Drosophila melanogaster: one gene and its partner. The protein of the gene in region 1 purifies or fractionates together with the protein of each later gene. This does not show direct contact. Each region holds a gene or a part of one and is shown on either strand. Other genes may lie near its edges.

What was found. The genes of interacting proteins can lie anywhere in the genome.
Region 2: the proteins of SNF4Agamma (region 1) and Clk purify together in Drosophila melanogaster (affinity purification with western blotting; one study listed by BioGRID). This does not show direct contact.

Annotation. Positions count from the first base shown.
Region 1 is NT_033777.3:21,154,678-21,159,639, reverse strand, and holds the start of SNF4Agamma (SNF4/AMP-activated protein kinase gamma subunit), read right to left. Parts: upstream 3,279-4,962; 5' UTR 3,229-3,278; intron 2,203-3,228; exon of another isoform or gene 2,144-2,202; 5' UTR 1,983-2,143; intron 403-1,982; exon of another isoform or gene 251-402; coding exon of another isoform or gene 1-250. Other genes in the region: cDIP (common Dpr-interacting protein), read left to right, coding at 1-250.
Region 2 is NT_037436.4:7,772,272-7,777,346, forward strand, and holds the start of Clk (clock), read right to left. Parts: upstream 3,333-5,075; 5' UTR 3,225-3,332; intron 1-3,224. UniProt on the Drosophila melanogaster protein: Circadian regulator that acts as a transcription factor and generates a rhythmic output with a period of about 24 hours. Oscillates in antiphase to the cycling observed for period (PER) and timeless (TIM).

The sequences.
Region 1 (4,962 bases):
GCCCGAAAAAGAGGGTGTGGACTCCTCCTCCTCTTCGGAAATCTCCGCCAGCGTAGAGTCCTCGCCCATAACAAGTAGTTCTGATCCCAGCGAGGTGGACAAACTGCGCGATGAACTGAAAGCAGTGGTGCAGCACTTTGATTCCAAGTTCGATTTGATATTCAGTAAACTGGCCCAATTGAATGAACAAATTCAGGCCTTTGAAGTGCTCAACAAAACTGTTTGGAGTCAAGTGACCTTGTCCGTTTGAAGTTGTTAAATATGGCCCATTTTTTATGTGATCACTACATTTTCAAAGCTTTACAATTATATGTATACATTATAATTAATATTTGAAGTATTTCCTAAAGCTTCTTAATTTTAAACATAAAATCTTTCGATCCAATAAATAAATCATTTTTTAAATTGTTGGAAGAATTCCACTAAAGAATTCGCGTGTATGTTTTTTTTACCAGTTCTTGATAATATACAAAGTTGGAACCATAATCTAACAAAACAGGAAGGCTTTTCGTCTTTGTTTAAGATTTAGTTTCCTAGAATATCATTTTTTTCTACGCCTATTCAATTCCTAATCTCGAAAACAATTTCTGCTCCATTTCCCTGCTGATTTTGCATACTCAACCCCAAAAAACCAATACAATTTGCAACATGAGCACATCTAGTAAATATTTATTGCTCGCTGTGTCGTATACGTAGAATAATATTTAAACAATAATATTGATTTTCGAGCAAAGCAAAGTTGGGTTCTTTTTCTGAAAGATATTGAAAGAGGTTCGTTCAACTCGGGCTGGCGAACCAAAATGGAAAAACGAGAAGAAAACTGGAGGGCGAAGACAAGATGGTGGGGCTCGGGGAACTTGAGTTGAATTGAACAAAGTCAAGTCAATTACAAAACCAATATTTTCGGAAACTAAACAACAATATTGAATTCGATCGAATGGACCAGAAACCGAGTTATTTTATTGCCATCTGCTAATGCGAACAGTTTTAATTATTTATGCTTTATCCCTTCTATTCGCTTACTCGCACATTTATGGCTAACTAATTGCTAAGATAAACAAACAGTTTCGATTTCAGTGCAGCCACTTCGTAAGGACGGAAAGTAGAAACAAATCCAATTTCACGGATCTCGACGATCACTGGTCGATCTGCTGATCCGGAGTATCGTGTGCATGTGATTAGGAATAAATCCATACATACATATGTATATCCATTCGAACACGAGTTTCAAATACGTTTTGTTTACATTGGCAGTGCAATTTTTGTTTTAAGGTAATTGGCGGCACACAAATCGTGGCAGCTGTAAGTGCGAACATTCAATTTTACCATATAGTGCGACTGACTATCTGCGACTTCTAGTAGTTGTATCCGCAGATCAAAGTTCGACATTTCCTGATTGCCAACTTCAGTAGCTATCTTTTTTTAATTTCTGGGCATTCGCTTGAAGTGTGCTTACTTAATTAGTCAATGTCTAAAATGTAGTAGGCATCGTGATAGGGTACTTTTACATTTAAAGAAATCCACTCACGATTTTATAACCATAACTTCAAATGAGTTTCGACAAAAAAAAGTCGTATGAAGAATTCAGGTAAGACCCTTTGAATTGTTTTATGTTATTATATTTTACATTGCCTGATTTAATACTGTTATTCCTGTTATTGATACTGTTATACACTATCTATTACATAATTGATCGCTTTTATTAAATGTTTTCTAAATATAAAAAAATTTAATAAAATTGTTTACACATTCTGAAAATCTAATTATGAAAAAATTTTGGGCGATTTTGGGTATTTTCCCAGCGTCGCCGCGAACTGGGGGAATTTCCCACCCACTCAACTTAGTCACCGACACAAAAGGCAGATGAAAAGTTTCGGGGAAAATCAAACGTCAAGCGCTCATATCAACACAAAAAGAAAATAAAGGCAGTGAAGTAAATCAGGTTTTCGATAATTATAAAAAGAAAATAAATTGTCACCCACCTTTTGTGTGTTTTTATCAGTAATTGGATGTTTCTGATTCGCGCTGGCAGATTGCAGAATCACAATTGTCGAATTTCGGTTAAAAAATTAATTTCACGGACACAGGAACGCATACACACATCCGCACATTCACGTACACACTAACACACATTCACGTTCACCTGAACGGGTGGAAAACAAAACTTTTGTAAACAATTTCGCGATTAGGCATTTAGCTGCGCTAAGAAATTATTGTAAATAAGAAGAGACGTAACGAATTAGCTGGTTGTGTTGGCGCATTATATGTTATATATATGTTATGAGTGTATATTCAGAGATTAGAGCGAAATTATAATGACGACTTTTCGCTGGATGTCCAAACACTTTCGAGGTGTTGACTTTTCAGATTAGATTACAGCACTCATTTCACTCGGCTAATTATCAGCCATTTGGTTCAACACCAAATAAATCACAAAACACGAAAACACCAGCAACAACAACCGAATCGATCTTAATAAAAGCAAAGAATGCGAGCCATAAAAATCAAGAATCAAAATGAAAATTTATTCGGGCGCGCGCTTCCACTTTGGACTCGACTTTCCAATTGGAACACGCAGTGATCGGACAATGGAAGGGGTGAGAAGAAGAAGAGGAGCAGCAGGACGTTGTTGTGTTTGCCACTTTTTATTAAGAATCTAAACCATTACTGCGCGAAACACAGCTAGAAACTGACACAAGGAACAAAAACAGAAGAATAGCAAATCTGGGCAAATAAAAGTATTTGTCCGTGGAAAATTTCCAAAACGTTTCTGTCGCTCTTTCCAGCGACGCCATGTGTTTGTTTGTATGCGTAACAGCTGATCGCCGATTATTGATTTTTTATAGGGATGTACATATGCACACATGTGTGTGTATGCATGGGCAGGAAAAGTGATTAGAGGCTATTGTTTTGTGTAACAAGAAAGAAGTTTCACAATTCACTTGCGCACTCAAAAGAACAAAGATCGATTGTCCGTTGTTGCCGTTGTTGTCACTGCAATTTCTGCAATCCATTCGCGCACAATTAAAAGCTGTTCACGCAGCTTATCACAGAAGAATTTTATGGCTAAGCCACCCACTGGCGCGGACATGCTATCCTGACACCATGCCGGAATTTTCTCTCAATTAAATTATTTATTATAAATTAGTAAGAATTTAAGAACATTTAATTTGCTTTGTTTTTCACTGCACTCCCGTTTTTTAACGCGAATTAAAAGTTTTTCCCAACCTCGTAATCCGCTGCGTTTTCACCAAGCAAAGTTCGCAACCTAACTCACGATTGTGGTCATCGTTATCGTTTGCGAAATCCAGCAGAAAAGGTCTTACTCTTCGCCTATCGTTATCGCTAGAGATCTTTTTACAATCCAGTTGGAATTAGCGTGACCACAACTGTAACGTTGTTTTAGTATTTTTCTATAACTCGTTGTTTGCAATTTTACTGAAATATGTGCATTTAAATAGTAAATTCTTAAGTGCCCACTCGCGTAAGTAAATACGCACATATATCTACTTATTTATTCAATAAACAAGAATCATTGAGAATTCTTTAGTTGCGTAGAAGTTATTTTAAATAAAATGCGCTTTGCTACTTTCCGGCGGCGGTCACACTTAAAAAACAACGCGTTGCCAGATCGGACCGTGTTCGCAATAGCAATCAGTTTTTGTCATGCACCGCCGCTTTAGGCGCCAAAATGATATAAGTTTGAATTGCAAAAATTGCTCCGCTCTGTAAATCACGCCGAACATACAAAATAGAAAACATTTTAGCTATAAAAAAAACTTTAGCTTTTATAAAAAAAGCTATAAAAGCTATAAAAAAAACTTTAGCTAGCTTTAGCTAAAAAAAATTAAACTTATGTACATAAGCATATTCCTATTTCCATCATAGTGCTGGAAATTAGATTTTATGCCCCATAAATAATCATAACCAGTTGCCTTGGCATGCCTTTCACACTTTCGGAGCCCACCCAAACTCTTTGAAACTTCAGCTAAGCCAACAAAAATCAATAAAAATGGCGCATTGCACAGAGGCCACCGAGGAGCACACAATGACGCCACCAGAAACAGCAAAATACTTGAAATCGGAGTCGATGAATTTGCCACCATTCACGAACTTCATTTAGACCATTCCAAATAGGTCCAAGGACGCAATAAATACATTTGAAGTACTCTCGAAAATAAGTTTCCTCGATGCTCAGGGTTTTTTGCTAGCTCGATCAATCAATCCCAGCCGAGGAACTGGGAACACTCACCTGCTCGATGTCGAAGTCCCATTCGGGCGATGGAGAACGCGCTGTTCGGCCGCCCGGCGGAGGCGTTCCCAATGCGGGGGAACCGGCTTGGGGCTCTTCGGGAATCACGGCGAAGCGACCCCGCTGGAGGATTGGCGAAATGGCGCCATAATTAGCTGCAAAGGCGAAAGAAGGGGTCAGTATTCAGCACCATGCATTTATTATCGAGAATTTGACCAAAAGATATCAATTACTATTAGCATAACTGTAATGATTAATGTCGTATACTTTATATAAACTCAAATTGTAAAGGCGAAAAAGTACCAAATCAACTTACACGTGGGCATGAGACGAAAGCGGCCGAGCGTCGTTTCGGGCGGGCCCTGTGGCGTGGAGGAGGTGACACGGAAGCGTCCTCGGCGGGCGGCGGCCACGTCCTCGTAGTTGCTGCCCCCCGACGCTCCGCCGGCACTGCTCTGCATCCTGTGGCTGATGCTTCCTTGTCGGCCTCGCCGAAAACTGCAATGGAGTGTGAGAAAAATCAAATCAATATTGCGCACAGGTGGCAAAGTTCTTGTTTCCTTTGACTAAAACAACTGAAACTCAATTAAGCCAATGGCATTAGAGTATATTGATCTTTGATGGAACTATATAAAACATTTTCCGTAAATTCTCTAATATAAAAAACTTAGCAAAACTTAGATATAAAGACGCTTTTATGAACACTAAAA
Region 2 (5,075 bases), on another chromosome or scaffold:
CCCTCTCTGTAATCGGCAATCGCCCCGTCTCGCTCAATTGCACTCTCTAGTCATTGCTGTCTCGCTTTGGCGCATTGGAAACGGGGAACTAACGTCATTTGATTGCATTTGTAAAGCTTCGCTCAGTTACAGAAATTATCGCATACTATCGATGTGTGGGTTACCTATATATGTGCACCCCATATCTCTCTCTCTCTCTCACTCTCTCTTTCTCTCTCTGTCTCTGGATTTCTTTGTCAGTGAACTTGAGCTTTTGCTTGGCAATGCTAATTGCATTGCGATTACAACATAGTGCCCGTGTGTGAGTGATAATACCCAATACTCATACGACCCGTTGTACAACTTTGCTTCCTCGCCTTCTATTTCTCTTTCCGCAAAACTTGTAATACTTTTCGTCGCGCTCTAGCGTTTGTTGTCTTAAACTTGACTTAATTAAATTGTTCACTATTATTTTATTTTTACCTCTAGTCATTCATTGATTTATTTCGTCGGCGTTCGTTCCCCCTTATTTTACCGAGACGGGATTTAATTACAATCTACCAATTCCGAGTTCATCGTTAATAGTGTTCAAGGGGTATACTTCTATGTGGTTTTCCAGCATGGAGTTGTTGTTCTATAAACAGAACCCTAAACGGATCTTGGATTTTCCTTTCCCTAAACGTTTAACAATCTAATAATAAATTGACGTATCTGAATCATTAGCAGTCTGCTTAAAATCATCAGTTCATCACATAAATCGATCTTTATAATGATTTAATATGTTTAGATTGAAATTGAATAATATTTTCGTTAAGGGGGAAATTTTAAATGAATTCTATTTAGTATCGATTAAATTCCGACTAATTAAAAACTAACTTGATTTCATTTAAGTGGACAAAAACTCACTATACCATTACAAAATTCATTAGGTTAAACTTATTCAGTCCAAAGTTTTGCTCTCTTTAGGTTATTCCTTTTGATATAAATGAAGGGTGTCTAACTTTTAGTCATTAGAAATTTAAGTGCATTTTTCTATAAGTTCTTTTAATTAAAAAACGACCCAGAGGCTTTCCTTAAGTTTTCGTTCTTTGTTTCCAACTACCTCAATATTGTTAAAAAAAAAAAAAAATAGATCTGGAGTAGTTGTCAATCAGTTGCTTATCTCACCGTATCAACAACTAGCCATATTTGCTCTAAGTGAAAATGAAGTATACGCTCTGCAAGCCAGAGCGAAAATGGCCAGAAAGTGCAGCTGACTGCAGATTAAATTAAGTAGCGTTTCGTAATTGTGCCCCATTTATTCGACTAAATGCAAAAACAAGAATCGAAGTTGTATCACTTGTAATGTTTAAAACCTTTTTGCATGTGCCTATAGTTTTTTTAGTTGTCAATTGAAATAAGTTTTACTGAGAGCGTGTGCGACTACCGCATGATCGCACACCACTGCACAAATGCACACGCGTACTCACACCATTGCAGCAGAACACACGCACACAGATAGACTGGCGCACACAGATACTCGGGGCAGTCAAACGCTGACGATGACGTTTCAAAAACTCAAAAAGACGCCACATCCGAGACCTGAGACTTGTCAGCCAACAATAAAAAAAACAAAAAAAAAAAAATTTAAATAAAACAAATGGAAATAGTTGGATTGCAAAGCGACTAGCAAATTACCTAGCTAGTTTCAGCCACTGGAAATTCTTGTAATTAAGCAAAACTTACAAACAATATTATTTATCTTGAATTCACCGGAATGAAAATAGTGTACTGCGTAAAATATCCAATCAATCTTGCTGAATGAAACTAAAACCAATATCTAAAAATATTTTTTAATTTTTATATTTATTTTAATATTGGGTACGAAATCCAACTTTTAGAGTAAACAAACGACACAACTCCATTCAAAATTCGAATAAAGAGTACATTATTAAAATACCTTTCCAAATCTAAAGACATTTTAAAAAAATTATAGTTTTTATTATATGTATGTGGAAAAATCGCTCTCACAGGTAGTTTGTTTTCAATTTTTTTTTGGTTGAATGCACTTTTGTTTTAAGCGAGAAGTATCTTCACTCGTATTCGCTCGTATCTCATCCTTGGGTTTGCCTTATCTTTTTTGGCGCGGCATTTTTCTTCTGTTATTTTTGTCACTGCGGATGTTCTACCTAATGCACTTTTGCTTTTATTATTTTTATTTTTTTCCTCCACTTTTGCTTTGCACACTTCACAATTTTGCCGCAGCTGATTTGTAATTTAATCTTTTGAATCTGGCGCAAAACTTTGGTAATTAGCAGGTAAAGTAGTTAATTTACTTCGAAATTGAATCTTAGCTACATTAGTTTGGATGCACTTGTTCAATTAAATAAAACTTTACTACTTTAGTATTTAACTAAGATCAATTTTTAACTTGTGAAAACTTGTATTTGTGTTTTATTGCAACATCACTGACATATAACTACACTTTTTTATTTGGCTTTTTAAAAACGCCCATTATTATTTAAACTATTTATTTTTATCCATATATTGCCTTTGGCGGCTTATCCACTTTTGTTTTTTCCTCTGCCTTTCACTTTGTTTCTTCAAGAATTATTCCACATTTGTTCCTGTTTTTATGGCACGAGTGTTTTAAAAGTTACATAATAACTTTTCCCGTTCTGCTTTGCGCGTTTTTTTTTTTATACTTCTGCACTTGGTGACATATATACGCCAATATATAGAAAACGATATCCAATAACAAAAACACTTTAATTTCTTTTATGGTAAAAGGTAAAACAAAAAACTTTTTTGGCAATATCAGCAGAAACAAGGAAGAAAGCTGCAATTTAATTAAGCGCAAAGACGGAGACAAACAAAAATATTATTCCCCTTCAAATCCGAAACAGAACCGAAAAGGCGAAAAGTGTGTAATATGCGATCGAGTTACAGGCAGAGACAATATCAACGGCAGACGGCTTGACTTTGCTTCAGATCGGCCAAGTACTTGCGATATAAAACAATAACTGCGCGCTCAAAAAAAAAACCCGGAGAAAATGCGAATAAATCGAAAACCCGAATCGGAAAATTAAAGAGAGAGATCCGCTCGTTGACGCTGCGCTTGCTGGACTCAAACTGAATAAATGCACGAGAATTGCAAGTTCTAAGCTGGCGAAAATAAAAACTACAAACGCAAAAAGCCCGTGGATAAACGAAAAACCGCGAAATGCATCGAAATGTGAGCAGCGAGTCCCCAGAAGCGTTCTCACCGATACAAAGATACGAAACCGAATCGGTCGGGAGAGTCAGTCGGTCTACAAGTCTGTTGTAATGCCTTTTGCCGGCCGGGGCGTATACGCGATATGTGCAAGCATTCCCAGCTCTACCTGACTGACTGACTGATTGAGCACCGCCACTCGGCTATTATTTAATATGCTCTCCACACTCAGAATCCGCCATATCACTCAATTGCACCGATCGTGAACCTGAGTTGAGTCTTTATCTATCGCTCTATCAAACTATCAGCACGCTCAGAGCCACTCTGCTCAGAGGGTCTCTCTCGGATCGGATAGTATAGCTTTTCTATATAGTTTTCTTTCAACCTTTCTGTTTGTTGTCCAATATTCCGCGTGTTTCTGGCATTCCGTCTGGAGATTACAGATATAAGGGTCTCTCGGGGGTCTCGCAGGGGTGATTCAACGGGTTTTGTTTGTCCGCGACTTAAGTTCAAGGTCTGTGGCAGGGGTGAGTTTTTGACTATAGGTCGGCATAGACTGAAACTAGGTAGGTGGTGCAACATACCCTAACTATCTTTTGATCTATCTATACTGCTTCATGTCTATAAACTTACATTAACAGATCATATGTGCATTTCATGCAACGTGAGGCGAACTGAAATATAATTTGAAATAATAAGAGAAGTTAAACATAATTTAAAGTTAAAACTAAACAAACTGTTTTAATATTTAATCATTTAATTTAATGTAAACTTTTACTAATTAAATTGTCTTATAGTATGGAAAGTGATAAAAGAACTTCCAAACTGTCATTTCAGCTTTTGTTAATCCACACAAATAATTTCCAAAGCACTACGGCATTAGCTTTTTAATGCAAACTCATATTTCAATAAATATTTCATATATAAAGTAGTTTTAGTATGAATTCAATAGTGAACCACGACCCTTACCTTTGATTCCTTTGTCGTATTTTATCTTCAAAATCAATTCAATTGGAATTCAGCTCCGAATCTAGCACTACGACCTCACTTTCTGCAAAGGTAGCACAGAAAACTAATAATTCTGATTCTTATTCCATGATTGCCTAATCGCGAACCGCTTGCACCAGAAATTCGATATTTATTAGATGCTTACGTAACATTTCAGCACTCGATTTGCAATTTACAAGATTTTCTCGATTTGATTTGAAAGTTTTATAGGTTTATGCAACGCACAGGATGTATATATGTAGCTATTCAGCAATGCAGAGGTGTAGTCAGAACTACTTTGTTGTCAAACTGAAACTCAATAGTTTTTTTTATCAACCACTTTTATAAGTTAAAAGAAAAACCATAGTTATGTTCCACATTTATTTTATATTTTAATTGTTTTCCTCTTTATTTTACATCATTATTAAATTAAGAAGTACCAGTAAAAAAAATTTAGCACAAAAAACACAGAGAAAATATGTTGTTGATTTGATCTTAAGAATTTTAGAAATATTATAAATTTTTTTTTGTTTCATATAGAATTATGTAATAATTTCTTCATATAAAGTAGACACAAAAATAATGTCAAATTTTGGGATTGTATTGTATTTAGTGTCTAAACGTAAATACACGATGATTTAATTTAGACGTTCGTGTATATTTTGTATAAAATTACATAAATATTTTGTTGACAAAAAATGTTGATTTATTTATTTATTTTGTGTTGAGCTGAAAATTAAATTCGTGTTCTATAACTAGCGTAGAAAATGTACATATAATTTATGGATTATCCGTAAAAAGATATTTACAAAGACAAAGATGTGCCGACTGATAAAGCAAATTTTTGTTTTTAAAATTGATTTGCTTTATAGGGAGAGTTTGAACGATTAAAAAGAATAAACAAAATGAGTATGCG